Linked DNA regions of Caenorhabditis elegans. The protein of the gene in region 2 purifies or fractionates together with the protein of the main gene of each other region. This does not show direct contact. Each region holds a gene or a part of one and is shown on either strand. Other genes may lie near its edges.

Region 1 (7,326 bases), 4.1 Mb from region 2:
CAAACTCTTATCGATATTTCTATGACATCAGGCGAGTTTTATTTGCTTAAAGACTAAGAATCAATGGGAGGTATCAGACACACTTCTACATTTGGGAAATCAATGGCAAATAAAGAACTGAATAAGACTAAAAGTTGGAATTCAATGAAAGAGGATGTAATTACTCAACTGATGGGGAAGAAAAATCAAATTCAATCGTTGCGTCTGATTAGGAATGAAATGTTTCTGTTAATAATTTGCAAGTAATCAGCTCGAAGCATAATTTTTTGTTGGTTTATTTTGTTTTTCAGCATGACGGAACATCATTTTGGAAATACAAAAAGTTTTAAATATCAAGTTTTGTCTAATAGAGGGTATAAAAATTGTATTTAGGTTACAGATCTAAATGATTTCTCACTATCATTACATCATTTTACAACATAATTCTACATACAAATGCCACGAATTTTAAAAAATTAGATGTTAAATAATGTTTTGAAAAGGTGTTCAGATTTCTGTAGTTATGAATATGAAAGGATTGTTGTCCTCGAAAATGTTTCGTTACGTTTGTTAATTTGGATTAGTTCATCTAGAAAAGGGTGCGAATTCAAGTCACATCAACAATTTGTCAGCTAAACAAATAGTCAAGTTTGCAAACTTTCCAGAACTGTTTCCATGATTTCAAAAACCTACCGAAAAGATTGGCAAAATTTCATATTTAATCTTAAGAGATTTAAGTTTCAATTTCATTCATTTTCAGATCTTTTTCCATCTTTTTTGGTGCACTATAAAAACCGTTTTTTGCAGTTTTTGTGCTAAAATCATCTTTCCATCGGCACACACAACGTGATGCTATCAAAAATGAAATTCTCGTACAATTGCCATTTTTGATCGGAAACTCTGTTTGACATTTCACCAGTTTTACATGAGTCATAGTCTGGTGTACACCAAGAATTGAGCATAGATCGTGAACTGGTCATGAGTCATTTCAGGTGATTTTTGAATGGGTCATACACGAGAGAATTTTTTATTTAATAAAAATTATTTTATTGACTGAGTGACAGTAATATATGAAACAGGTTAGAATGATAGTGCAGAATGAGTTCAAATTGGTACAAGTTATGGGTATAAAACCGTTTGTTACAAAATGGGATGGTTCAAACGAAAAGGTTTGAAAGTTCGTGGAACGATTCGGAGAGCAACTTTGCAAACTTTGTTGAATCAGTGTTGGCAGCGGAATGATAACTTGTGATGTTTGCAAAGATTCCGTGGTTTCCTCCAAAGCGATAGCAGATTCCGTAGCCATCAGCAGCGACTGCTCCGAAGCATGCTCCGAGCCAAGTGTTGTCTGAATCAGTGTCCTCGTCGCATTGATTAGTCACGTTTGGAACCTGGAATAGGATATGTTCAAATTGTAAAGTTAAAAAAAAAATAATTAGGAAAATCCAGAAAAAGCAATTGTTGAAAAATGTTTGAATTAAAATCCTTCAGCTCATTATTAGAAAGTTACGTGATACAACTGCCAAATACATAGCACTATGTCATCTTATTTTAATGATTACTCACATGTGAGGTAGATAGCTTCCACTTTTGATTAATATAATTGTCAAGGAAAGGACTCTGAATCCCCGTTCCTTGAGATAAAATATACAGAACAAAGAGATGACGATCGACTCCTTGCCCAACCATACACTTCTTGTTTCGAAGAACATGAGTTTCACAAGCTTTTTTCAAAAGAGCAATCTTGGCTTCTTTCTGAAATTTGAATTTTTCATCGTCTTAATAACTTCAAATTAACTTACCGTTTCATTTGCATTCAACATAGCTTCCACAAATTCACAAGAGTGATCGTTAACTGTTCTCAAAGTTTCGGTCCTCGAGTTTGCAAAGAATCGAGCTGATGCTGGTTCATATGTGAGCACAAATTTGCCTTGATCTCGATAGTTGGCAAGTTGAATAGCCATTTGAATGAATGCATCTGGTGAGACACCACACTTCTTGATACGTCCTTTTCCAAAATCACGGAATGCAAGGGCATACAGGTCAAGGTCATTCTTGGCGATTTGATGAGCATCGTAGCAGCGAGTGATCTCGGAGAGCATCTGAAAAATGATTATTTTGACCTGAAAGGTAAGGCAAAAAATGAAGCTTACCTCTTGATCTGGAACTTCAAAGTTCAATGGAGTAGCAAGCTTCAGAGATTTCTTATCATTCTCTTCAATAACTGCCATTTTCTCTTGCTCTTCAATTGATTTGTATTTCAAAACTTCCAAATCTACATATACAAAGTTTTCCATAATATGATCAAATTCTGCTCCATCCGCAATAGAATGCTCAGTTGTTCCACCGCATCGAGCATTTTTCGAACAAATATAATTAAGAGACTTATCAACCCATCGATTAGTTCCATCTCCAGAAAGACAATTGGCAAGGAAGTTGCTGAGAACTTCGGGTTTCTTCTCATCATATCCATAATCATCATTCTCATCGAGTGTGAAAAAGAATACAGCACACTCGATTTCCTTGAGGATTTGAGCATTTTTCACGTTTCCAAGGAAATACTTTTGACGGTTTCTGTGCCAAGAGTCCCTGGTATCGTGGGTCAATGCTGCGATTTTTCCAATAACCCCTTCCTCCTTCTCGTCTCGGGAAATCATTTCGTGGAAAATTCTAGAATTAATTATTTATATTGATTTTTAAAGCTTTACTTGGAATTTTTATTAAAATGTTTGGCAAGTTGCTGACATTAAATTTTGAAATTTTTAGCATGTTTTTTTGACGCTTATATGCATCTCAGTTCAAAGAAATTTAAAAATCAGTGCACATTTGAAACTCCATATTCACCATTATTCTCAGTTTAAAAAAAATTGAAAATCAGTGCACATTTGAAACTCCATATTTTCCAAAATTCTCAGTTTAAAAAAATTTGAAAATCAGTGCACATTTGAAATTCCATATTTTCCATAAAGATAACCAAATGCGTTTAAAATAAATTTTTGAAATTTCGTGTATATATAACGTGTTTAAAATTTAAATATGTAATTAACTCTGTATTTTTGGCTACCCCCATTTTTTGAAGTTTCAGTAGTTTTAGCGTTGCTCTAAAATAAATTGTTGCTGAGCTTATACTTTGGAATTTTTAAGAAAAAATGGTATTTAACAGTAAGATGTTCGCATTTTTCAGCATCTCTGAATGAGTTGTTTTTAACAAAAATATTTGAATTCAATTTCGAAGATGATATCGGCAGTTGCCAAAGTTAGCAAACGATAAAACTTTTAGCAACTTTTTTCTTCATAGCTTTTGATGAGCTTTTAGAAAATATGCCATTTGCTTTACAATTTCCATTACACCATATGCAATTTCCTGGTTAGAATATTTTTCCAACTTGCGTCTTGCGACTAATATAATAAACTCTGATGTTATAAAATATCAGTAGTGCAGATCCTTTTTCGATTAACTTTTACGTACTTCGTCAATTGTTCCACAGTGTAGATGTTGTTCTTATCATCAACCACGTGAATCTTATAGTATTTTCCACGCAACACCACTACAATGTGCTTCTGAATTCCGTGCAATATCAGCTGATCAATCTTCTTCCCTGGTTCTCGGGTTACTGCATACATATTTTTGTAATGTCTGGTGCAGACAAGTCCGTCGCCAAGCTGGAAACATTCATATTGATGATAAAATGTTATCAAAACAATTGTTTGGTTTTTTTCGGTGCAAGATTGCGACGTGTAACATTCACTGATAAGAAATAGGGCAAAATACAAACGATCAGGAATCACAAAAAAAACATACCGCCTTGTACTGTTGACGATCAATTGCAAGATGCGACATGACTTCAATCCAGGTTACTCGAGCTGCTCTGTGAGCTCGTGTTGCTTCTTTGTCTCGGAGCAAGTCACAATGAGCAACACTGCTATTAATCATAAGTGGGTATCTCCCATGAAGATATGCATACTTTTGCCAGAACGAGGTGACATAGTTGTCGGTGAACAAAGAGTAGATCCACGTGTATCTCTGAAGCTTCTTTCCCTCGTTTTCCAGAAACTCATGTGCTTGCTTGGCGACAATCTCGTACTCTTGTTCTGATAGAATATGTTTCATGGAGTCAAGGTATTCAGAAATAGTGTCTTTGAGAGCTGGTACCGGGAGACTCGGAAGAAGGCGATCACAAGATTCAAGGATTGGTGGGGAAATTGAGAGAATGTGTCGGACAATCTGAAATTTGAACAATAAATTCTGATGGTGTTACAAAATAACTTACACCCCAAATTTTCGTTTTCAAACATGGCTTCTTTGGGTTGTCAAACAAGAATCCTTTGTATGAGAAGTAGAAGTGCTTGAGAAGTTTTCGAAGTGTGAATACTCCTGCGTAGGATCCAATTGCCGCGACTGCAGTGGTTTTTGCAATTTCAGCAACTTCCGATCCGAACTTTGGAAGAAGATCAAGAATCGCATTTTCTGGGTATTTGTAGTGTAGGGTGGCCGCCAGAGCAACGGTTGTGGCAACGAATGGAATCGGTTTGATAGGCCAAAGTGTGTTCTCAATCCAATTCTGAAAATATAGATACTTCATGGTTGTTTGGTAACTTTGAAAAAGGTAATGTTTTAAAAAAAAATTGTTTTCTGTGTTTTGTTTCCTAAACTAGATCCAATTCGAAATTCCAAATTCTACCCACTTAACAACTAGTTTTTCTCTGACTTCCCACAACACGTAGAAAAGGTCAATTGAGGTAAATTAGCCAATTTTCTGATTTGATAAAACTTACGTAGGTCTTGTAGGATGCTTGTTCAATTGGCGATGGGAATTTTGTTGGAAAAGGATATGGTGAACGAACTGTTTTCTTTTTGTTGGACGACATCTGAAATTATGGTAAGGTTTTTGAAATTGAAGAGTTGAAATTGGCAGGATAGGTAATAAAGTTTAGAAGGCTGCAGACGAAAAAACAACAAATTTGATGAACGTGAGTGATGTTGTGGTGATAAAATTGGGGGATGAGAATCACAAAAAAAGAAAACTAATTAATCTACATTATCAATTTAACTTTGCCTTTTCTCCAGTCTCCGTCTACACTTATTGCTGACTTTTTAAAGGAGAAAGATCAAAATTGTATTCTGATCGTATTCTAGTTGACTTTCATTCTCATAATCTTATCGATAGGAAACAAAATATTTCGAGAGAATCATGTGCTGGAAACTCTTCAAAAAATGGCTGAGATAAGAGAACGATGGCTTTTGAAGCAAAAAGAGTAGAGTACAAAGTGGAGTAGAGTGAGCAGAGTCTGCTTCAAGCAAAAAATAAGATGAAAAACGAGAGTTTTGTTCCGTGTTGTTGAATGAGCGAAAAAAAAGCCTGAGCACAACAAATATAGGGTTTCTAAATCCCATCAGAAAATGGAGAGATGTAGAGTGAGAAGGAAATACGGCATATTTTATGAATAGAATTTATTTTCTGTCAACCAAAATTTGGAGAAAAACCTGCAAATAAAGCATTGCGGAAAAATAATTTTTTAGAAAAAACCCGTCATATATTCTTCAATATGTTTTTTATTTGGAAGATTTGAAAAAAGATTTCAGTTTCAAAATTTTTGAAAGGCTTTCTGAAAAATTTTGTAACACAGAACAAATATTATTCCGGAAAAATCAAAAATTCTAGTTAAACAATATGCATTTCTAAAAAAAATTTTACTTTCAATGCTTTATAAAAAACAAAAACAAACTGAAAACAAAAAAGTAGAACACGTATCTGGAAAAGAGGAAAAAGGCAATATTGAACACCATATGGTGTGCACAATTCTAGTCGATAAAAGGAACAATGGGACAAAATCTAGATAGAAGGCCGATCAATATCTAGATTTAAAGGGGTCGTAACTAGATTGTAGTCAGACCTGTGAGGTTTGGTGCAGGTGGTTTGAAAGAATATGGTGCAATTTATCTACTAAAAATAATATATTTTCATTTTGGAAATAAATTTCAGAAGTAAAATAATAAGTTGGGATATCAAGAGTTTTTGATAATTTTAAAAGAATTGGGAGTACTGTTTAAAACCAGTGCTAAAATTACCTACTATAAAAAAAAGTTCAAACATGCCGCATTGCTCCAAATTCCTCAAAAAAACCTGTTTTAAATTTGGTAAAATTGGCTATTTACCAAAATTTTTCCTGAAAAATCTGAAAAATCCAAGAATTTTCGGTAGTTTTAAAATGATATTCGATTATTTCAGATTATCGTACGAGTATATAGATGATATTCCCTGGTGCAACTCTAGATTTAAGTTTGAAAGATCTCCCAGCCCTATCAATTGTGTCACCTGGAAATCGAGCAAGCTACAAAAGAACCCGCCAAAATTCAAATGAAAGTTCAGCTTAAAAACGCACTGGAAAATTATAAAAGTACAATAACCGCCGGTCAAAATGTCGACGAAAAATATGTCCGATAACAGTTTGATGTAGAGTAAGGAAACACACAAGCAGGGCGAAATGATAGAGAGGGAAAGTTTGTCTGGTTGACCTACTATCGGAGAATCTTCACTGCAGGCGGTTATGAGAAAATTCGTGGATGCAAACACAGCTGGTCGAAATGGGAAAGCTTTAGGGTGCTACGATGTAGCCTAGGATTAAAAAAAAAGTTTTTATCAGATGGGAAATATTTTAAACTGCGGGTAGAATCCCTTCATACTGTAGCTTAAAATAATTTTAAAAAAGTAATCAAATATGTTTCTTGGAATTGTTTCCTGCACGACGGTATGTAAAATAAAATATTTATTTCATCAGAATATCTTTTTTACCTTACAGAAAGAGCTTTCCACAACATTTCTGATAATGGAAAGTGCACAAACTTTAAAAAATTAGTAGATCATAAACTCAAGCTTTTCCCGAATAATTCCAAATAAGACACAATACTGGGGCTGCACTTGTAAACAATTTTCAGAGGGCTGTTTTGTGAAAAACCAGATTACCGTATTACCTGGACTAATAAAAGTTAGAATTTTTTTCATATCCTACGAACAAAAATCTCAATTATTTAAATTAAAACTTAAAAAAGGTAGTCCTAAGAATATCAGCTACCCGGGAATCAACATGAGATACTGTAATTTGTTCCCAGCACGGCGAAACTTTTGATATGACGAAAATTCTCACTTTTAGACGTCATCGTAATAACAGTTTGCACAACTAAAGTTTGTCCCTGGTTCTTGACTACCAAGGAATTTAATTTTTACCAAAGTTTCAGTAATCTTGAGCAATTTTTAAATCTTTAATTAGTTCAGTTTGTATTGCTGTCCTGCTTTAAAAACATTTGTTACCAGTTCAAACTGTTTTTTCCAGATTCCACAATGTTCT
Region 2 (8,616 bases):
TTTCAGAACATGGTAACATTTGCCAATTCATTTGTTACTCTTCGCGCCCCTCAAAATACTTGCAACAATTGTACATTTGCATTTCTTTTTGAGAGAAATTCTTCTACAGAAGAAGATAATTTTCCTCTTCAAGTATTCTTTACCATTCACTATTGCATGGCATTCATTCAGTATTTCATGACATTTTTATCTTCTCTCAACCGTTTGACGATGGTATTTTTTGTTGACAGTTATGAGAAAGTGAGTTAGGAGTTCATGCTATTTAGAAGACCTCGAGAGAATTTTTATTACGATTTTTATTAAGTGTTTTTGTTATTTCAGATATGGCGCCCGAGTCTTCCTTTCCTTATTATGATAGTTATTATATTCCCTATGATTATGACATGGCCAATTGCGACAAACAACGCATACTTTATCTATTCTCCAACATTGGGAGGATTTGCAACAAAAACTGTAGCCGTATGTTTTAATTTTACAATTTGTTGCAAATGTATTCAAACTCAATGAGATACTTTTTTTAAAAGTGTGTCAAAGCGTACATGAACTCAAAACATTTTTAAAGTCTGAATTTATGAATATATTCAATTTTTTCGTTTTTCAGAACTCAACAGAAGTGCTAAACTCGCTAGTCACATTCATGATAGTTTTTACATTATTTACCGCAACTGCAAACATTGTCTCAATAATTCGTCTGACTCTTCTTCCAACAAGGATCAGTGGTGCAGAGAGAAATCTGTTTACTGTCAGCTTTGTTTCGTTCATTATTCAGCTATTAGCTCTCGGAGATACGGTATTTAGGTTTTGCCTCCTCAGTTATTCAATATTTCAATACTTTTAGTTGATTCTTCGCGCCGCACCATCAGAAGGAATGTCAGTCGGAGCCCAAACTGCAAAAGCATTGATGCCTTTTGTTAGTGACATACTCACTTTCAATCATCCATGGACTATTATGTATTTTAGTACCAAGGTAAATGATATATAATTCTGTGAAACATGTCTTATTTTTCTAGGTACGTACGTCAATGGCAACAGACCATTTTCCCAGTCTCAGGAGTAGAGCTGTCATGGTAACAAGTTCCGTGTACTAACATATTTTTTATTTACTGATTTACTGACCAATGTGAACATACGCATCTTTTTTATTTGTGTTCTAGAATATCAAATTTTGAATAAACACTCACATAAAACAGTTTTATTTGAAAAAAATTGATTACATAAATTTATTCCTGATTAGTGTCCAGTCGGCTAATTGTGCCAGAAATAGAGTCCAGTTCAACAAGATCACCAGTTTTAAAGTGATATGTTGCATTGGAAACTGCAATCAAACTTGGTAGTCCATACTCTCTTGCAACAACAGCCCCATGACTGAGTAGTCCTCCAATCTCGGTGACAATTCCACTGATAATTGGGAAAAATGGAGACCAACAGATATCCGTGTATTTTGTAATGAGAATCTCTCCTGGTTTTGTCTCTTTTGCTTCTTCCAATGTTTTGGCAACTCTTGCTCTGGCTCTAACTTTTCCTTCGCATACTGTAGTTCCTCGAAGAATGATACCAATATTTGCATCAGTTTCAGCGATTTCTATTTTAATTGGATTCATGTATCCATGAGAAACAAGTGGAAATTGGAGACCTTCAAACTTCGATGAAATCTGTTTTCTTCTGATTGCTCTGGAAACAAGTTTTGCACTTCTTGTTGCATTCAATTCTTTAAGTTCGTCCATTGAGAAGTGCATCCAAAGATTTGGATCAGGAAGATATCCCTAAAATTGAAAATTACTTGCAGCAAATTTTAAATTAATTCACTTTTTCATACAACTTCTTTCCAACCATTCTGCATGCCTTTCGAAGAGAATGTGTCGTGGAAACTAAATGATTTTTTGCTGTTTCTCTAAATGAAACTCCACGGTGTGTCTGACCGATGAAATATTTCAAAAGTCTTCTGAAATGTGTAAATGCATTTTTTTCAAATGGTTACAAAAAGTTTCCCACCTTCTAATACCAGTCGGCTTGCATTTCAAGTTATCAATAATATCATCTTCATTCTCAATAGTCTTCCCAGACGTTTCTGGGCAAGCCAACATACTTTTAATTGTATGAACTAATAAATTGGTGTCCTCTTCCCAGGTGGTAGCATCTAAATAAAGTTCTTTCGGCCCTCGATGTCCATGCAATTCTAGAAATCTTCTCAATTCGTCAGAGCTTTTCTTTCCGTTTTCAAGTGTTTTCAAAGCCTCATCGTCTTCTGCAGCACAAAATTCTTTATCAATACTCTCTTCTCGAATGGTTTTTGCAAGTTTCTTTAAAGAATTTGGAACGTCAGCACTGATTACATCTCCACGAGAGTTATTGGAGAACACATTGGCAAAATCGGATATATTGTCATTGGAAAGAGGTCCATCTGAAAAATATTTTGAATGGAAGTTGATATCAGATTCTATAAAATTTGAATAATTACAACTTAGAAATACTTAATTTCAAGAATCAAAAGGAGGACAGATTTGACACAGAAATCATAATTTTATAGGTATTTTCAAGTATGCTGCTAAATAACAAACACAATTTTAAATGATTAATGCGTAATCATCAATTGTGTGAACTCTTAAAAACCTATCAAAAATAGTATTTTAAGGAGAGCTTAACCCTTCCTTAAGAATTCCAGTTAAACTCTATATCATTTGAAGGCCTTTCAACACTTTCCACAAAAACTAACTGTCACTTCCACGAATAAGCATTCCACATAGCACATATGTGAAAGAAGAGAACATTGAAAGACTGGTGTGACAATGGCTTGCATCACACCACAACTTCTCAAGCTCGTCATATTTTTTGAATACTATCTCAATCGTCATTTTATCATTTGGCACCAGTTTCTTTGCTTCCTCGTCGATTTTGACAATTTTCGCCTTCACACTGTTTGATGTAAAATATATTAACTTGATCATGTTGAACATTCTCTTCAACGGAAAGAAAGGTGAAACTTTTCCGTATTGATGAGCTGCTTGTTGGAACATTTCCGCATTGAAAAGAGTTTCTCCAGCAATCACTATATCAGTAATTCGATCTTTTTCAACCAGTTCCCAAATTCGAAGAACAACTTCTCCCAAATTGAAAAATATTTTACGGTGTGCAACGGAAAAGCCGATTGAAGTATGTGCCGGCACAACATCATTGAGCTCTTGAAATGTCATTGACTGAAATTTTGTTTATAATTTAATTTTTTTAATTATATTGTTATTCTTACTGCAATGACTTTATCAAACATTCCAGTTAAATTATGAGCTTCCATGGCATTAACCGGAACTGGAAGAACTTCTCCAACATTTGCATTTGTTAGAATTTCTTTGTCATGAATACTTGGCGAATTATATTCTGTGCACATTTCAAATTGAGTCTCCTTATCCAAACCAGTAATATCTCGACTTTGAACAATATTAACCATTTGATTTCTAACAACAAATTCAATATCTTGAGGTTTTCCAAATATTCTCTCCAAGTACTCTCCAACTTTGGTAAGTTTCTCAATCTGATAGTCATCCAAGCAACAATCGACGCCAACTTTCTGAAAATATTTTTGTAGTACTTCTTTATTGACAAAAAGGTAAAATATAGCAAAAATCCTTTTAAGAAAACCCAACTTACATTTATGACCACCGTTTTATGGATTCGATTTACGTAAATCTCATCTGGTGTCGTCACACCGCTCACAATTTGTTCCCCACTTCCTTTCAATGCATTTATCACAATTTCTCCACGATCTAATTTTACTGGATTTGCGGTGAACATAACTCCAGCCACTCCGTTTCGATCCATTTCTTGAATAACTACAGCCATTGACGGATTAAGCTGCTGACCGTAGTTTCTGTAAACGTCACATTGTGATTGAAATTTTAACTTGTTAAAACCTACTTTCTGTAATTCAATACTTCTCTTCTAAAATTAGAGCCCCAACACAGCTTCAGTTTATCAACTATATCAATTTCAATCACATCCAAGTAACTTTCCAGTTGTCCAGCTGATGAAAGATCTGCTCCATCTTCTCCAACTGCAGATGATCTTACTGCATAGTATTCAGAACGCGGTAACCACTCCTTAATTTCTTTTTGCAGTTCTTGAGACACTTCACTTTCGAAAAGAAGCCCTTCAATTCTAAAATATGTCATGTTTCTAAATATTGGATTGATAACTTATTTTATTACCTTTTACCAACATCCTCATAATACTCGGCATTTTTATCGTTGATATCGAGAAGTTTTATTTCTTCTAAAACATTTGGATTCGCAATTACATGCTTGTTGAAAGCTGCGGTAGTGACAACTATTCCAGGAGGCACATGGAACTGAAAATCTATTTCAACATTGTATATGCTTACTTTCAGAACTTACATCATCGGTGATTGCTTGAAGTCTTGCTAAATTCGCACCTTTTCCGCCAGTTAACATTTTATCCTGACATGCTCTGTGATTGAATGAGACTACTGATTTCATCTTTTCTGATTCAGTTGCATGATATTCCGGGAAACTATCGGGAAGTTTAGTTGTAACTTCATGAATTGCCTCTCTCACTCTAACCACAAATCCAACTCCCGTAAAAATTGCAGAATTAACTTCTAACGCAGTAACGTCGACAACCTTGTTGTCTTCTCGAATAAACGTGAAATGACATAATTTTCGTCCTTTTCTCATTTCAAGAGGGAGAAGTCCACGTGAAACATATTTGAATTGAACTGGAAGCATATTATCTGACTCAAGGGAATGAGAATTATCAATAATTATTGGACGAGCACTGTGATCTGAACGGAATCCCACTCCGTGACTAACTGATTTCTTTTCATCTACAGAGTTGACACGATAGGAAATTGCATTTGCATCCTGAAAACTACTTTCTTAAGCGGGATAAGCCAAAAAGTATTTCTACTTTTCTATAATACAAAAAAGATAAATAAACCTTACGCTCAGGTATGTATGAAAATGTGTAGAACTTGTCTCCAAGTCTAATGGATTTCTATGACGAAGTCCTGAAACTTTGATGGAATTTGGTTTTTGTATCGTGTGTTTTCAACCTCTATATCTATGTTCGACAACTTCATCTTTCCCAATTTTGATTTCTGCGTGATATTCACCCATTTGGTTTAACACATTTCCTTTTCGGTACCTAAAGTTGATATAACGTATTTGTAAGAAATGATTCAGTCACTTTTCGATAGTTTTCAAATTCTCAATCAGTGCAGTTGGTTTGTCATTGTAAATTTCATTGAATGACTTCAAAAGAGCATTTGAATAGAAAAATCTAGCATTCGACACACATTTCCACCATCCCGAAAGTATAACAAAATGAGAGTTGCCTTTAGCATCATTCAGGTATCCACGGAAATTAATTCTCCATTTACGGAATGGGTTTCGAAGCTCAATTAGCAATGGTCCACATGAAATTGTTCGATTATCGGAGAATACTGCTTTGTATGATCCGGAATAAAGAATTCCTTTTTCGAAAACTCGAATATGAGCAAAATGAATTTCATTCTTTGTTATAACTTGAATATACACAAAACTATTATCTTCTCCAGAACCGCTAATTGTTAGAATTTCCTGCAAAAAAAGGACGAATTTCGTGTCTATTTTTATTATTCATACTTCATTTTTAATATGTTCCAGTTCCCATTCCTCTTTATCAGGGTTTATAATGTCACGAATCTTTGCAGTTGGAGCAGTGAACTTTCTGAAATTGTATTGAGTCTACTGTAGCCTTTTTTAGTTTAAAAAAAATCAAAAAAATCTCGGTAATTCACTAGAACTTATAAAAAGACAATATGCATGAATACCATCAATATGCAAGAAGGGAACAGTTAAAGATTTTATTTTGAAAATGTTTTAAAAGTACGATTTCCAAATTTCGATCAGCGAAAAAAAATGAGTGGTATTTAAAGTATTGCAAAAACGTTTGAGTAATTTTTTAAATCAATCTTTTATCTATTCAAGCACATGTCTTTTCTTTAAATACTATAAGAGTGAACGAATCGGATAGTCATCGTTCATATTTTCCATAGAAATCTAGATAGAAGTTTCAACTTTTTGTCAATTTATCAAAGTATGGTTTCTGCTATTCATTCAAAAAAAAAAGTGTGCTCACTTGTTAATCAACTGATAGTATCAAATCACAATTGACAAAAAACTCGAATTTCAATATAGATAACCAGTTTGGGTCGTAAACAAAAAAGTGATCAATTGCCCCATACTGGGTCCATAATCACATTAGTACTCACTTGACCGGATGTCTCCATTTAAGGAACGCGTATATCACTGGATACAATACAAACTTGCATAGTGGAGCTGAAAGAAACAGCAAAAACAGGAATATCAACATTTGTTCTGTAAATACGTAGAATTTTATGTCAATAGCAATACATGTAAGAACATCAATAACTGAAGAGATAGATCTTGATAGTATTTTAGTAATCAGAGATAGCTTCAAGTGTACTTGTCTTGAAACGGTTTATAAAATAGTTTTAAAATGTATATATTTGCCAACTGATTTTCATGTGACACTTAGAATATCTATGTAGTTTGATAAAAGACTCTTGATTAAATCATTAAATAAATACAAAAGTACGTGCAGATTTGATAGTGATTGTGCTAATAAATTAGTGTTGTTGTATTGAAGGTCAAATATTTGTTGTTGGAAAATGGAAAAGATCAATAGCTTCTAGCAACTTATATGTCAAACTCGGCAAACAAAGATTAATTGAGAAATTTTAGTGAATTTTTAAGGCTCAATAATCGGGCATATTGTTTCTATAAAAAATCATCGCTAGACATTCATCTATATCACATCATAGATGAGTATATCATAGCAGAGCTGTCGGTTTTTTGCTTTTTTGGTTTTTTCGTAAAAATGGATTTTTGATTTTTTTTTCAGACCAAATTAACAGAAAAATTGTTTTTCAAAGATGTTATGTTTTAGTTGGATTGATGAAAAATCGAAAAAAATAGAGTGTTTTTTTTTTGGTTTTCTGGAGAAATTCGATTTTTTGTTGTTTTTCACAGCCCTCACAAGGTATATCATCACAAGCCTATCATCACGGCCATATACTCTAATAGTATGACATGCAAGTCGAATTCCAGAGAAGTTAGTACTAAATAATAGAGAATACAATAGAGATGTCACACAATGAATAATCTATGGCAAGGGCTCGAAGAAGAATTCGGCAAAAAAATTGAATAGTTTGAGTACAAACCATGTTTTCCAAAAACGACCAGTCATTGCAGAGAAGTTAACTAGAAAGAATGTGAATTTCTATGTTTATACTTCTAGCATTGGTAAGTTCAAAAAATAAGAAACTGGAAAAGTTGAGTGCTGAAGAATCTTATGGCACATATAAACTGTGGCTGATAACGAAATGATTTGGTTGAACGTATAAGTAGTTATCAGGAAATAATCAATAACTAAGTTTATGACGATGATGATTTTTTCGATAACTGAATTGACGGCGCAAATAAAACCAGCCGACGTATTTAATTTCCATCTGGGTGGTCTTCTAATTCGAATATTGGATATGTTCTTTGCAATGTTGTGAATGTTTATGGGAAGACATTTTTTACAAGAAAAATCTTTTTGTGATAATGATAATGATTACAAATACACTAAAATGGGCTCTTTCTTCCTATGCAAAAAGAAGACGTTCGGACGGTGGTGAATCAGAAATTTAGTCATGGGCATCGTCGTGACCGTGATGTCCGTGATTACGGTACTTGTACTTGAGTCGCTGCTCTTCTGGAACGGCAAAATCGTAGACAACAGTTCCGGCTTTGATGATTCCGAAAAGAAGAGCCAATCGCCACACAATTTTCAAATATTGACCATATGGAGATTGACGGAAGAAGTCGGGGTCTTTGTTCTGAAATAAAACAATACAAATCGCATTGCGTTTTATTTTATGCTGTCACTTTTTAAAAATTGAACGTTTTCTTGTTTAAAATTTTTTTAATTACTTATGCATGAGAAAATTGATTTTTTTTGTAGTACTTATGCCATTTCATAACAAAATATATGATTTTGTGAAGAACTTTGAAATTTTTTTAAAAACATTATGGCGGCTTCAAAAGCCAAGTTTTTAGCCTCGCCGGACAGTCCCGACACTATAAATCTATAGCTGTGGAAGCTTTATGATCAAAAAATTAAAAATTCAGTAAACTAAGTACTAAGGTTATCTTATTTTGAAAGCATTGCAATTAATTCTCAAAACAAAAACATATTTTCGAACTATTTTCGAACCGACTGTACTTTCGGGAACATAATTAATTCTTTAAAAAACTCACAATTGCACGATAAGCAGCTGTCGTCTCCTGCTTGGCTTCACCAAACAAAAACATTTTTGGCATGTTGTTCACATTATCCCATTTTCCCTCACTTCCGAGTCTGTTGATTTCTTTCCAGACGGCGTGGGAGTCACTGCAATAATTTGAAAATTTATGATTCAAAAATTCACCAATTTAGGAAACTGTTTTGTATTCGAGGGATAGATATTACAAGCATTGAAAAATCAATTTTGTTCTTTAAGAGATCAACAATTTAATGCATTTTTTAATGCTTTTAAAGGGAGCAAACGCATATTTTTGG

Evidence for each region. The genes of interacting proteins can lie anywhere in the genome.
Region 1: the proteins of T21C9.6 (region 2) and cpt-6 fractionate together in Caenorhabditis elegans (co-fractionation; one large-scale study listed by BioGRID). This does not show direct contact.

The regions. Positions count from the first base shown.
Region 1 is NC_003283.11:6,489,074-6,496,399, forward strand, and holds cpt-6 (Choline/carnitine acyltransferase domain-containing protein), read right to left. Parts: upstream 4,849-7,326; coding exon 4,756-4,848; intron 4,542-4,755; coding exon 4,251-4,541; intron 4,205-4,250; coding exon 3,782-4,204; intron 3,643-3,781; coding exon 3,449-3,642; intron 2,650-3,448; coding exon 2,133-2,649; intron 2,082-2,132; coding exon 1,782-2,081; intron 1,735-1,781; coding exon 1,546-1,734; intron 1,371-1,545; coding exon 1,137-1,370; 3' UTR 1,013-1,136; downstream 1-1,012.
Region 2 is NC_003283.11:10,579,639-10,588,254, reverse strand, and holds T21C9.6 (Phosphoenolpyruvate synthase), read right to left. Parts: upstream 6,369-8,616; 5' UTR 6,364-6,368; coding exon 6,263-6,363; intron 5,719-6,262; coding exon 5,634-5,718; intron 5,589-5,633; coding exon 5,197-5,588; intron 5,155-5,196; coding exon 5,063-5,154; intron 5,018-5,062; coding exon 4,953-5,017; intron 4,872-4,952; coding exon 4,386-4,871; intron 4,340-4,385; coding exon 4,200-4,339; intron 4,150-4,199; coding exon 3,910-4,149; intron 3,863-3,909; coding exon 3,643-3,862; intron 3,563-3,642; coding exon 3,245-3,562; intron 3,195-3,244; coding exon 2,714-3,194; intron 2,402-2,713; coding exon 1,993-2,401; intron 1,943-1,992; coding exon 1,807-1,942; intron 1,764-1,806; coding exon 1,221-1,763; 3' UTR 1,178-1,220; downstream 1-1,177. Other genes in the region: srg-32 (Serpentine receptor class gamma), read left to right, coding at 7-240, 322-459, 602-790, 839-967, 1,011-1,088; lpd-9 (LiPid Depleted), read right to left, coding at 7,703-7,894, 8,316-8,448.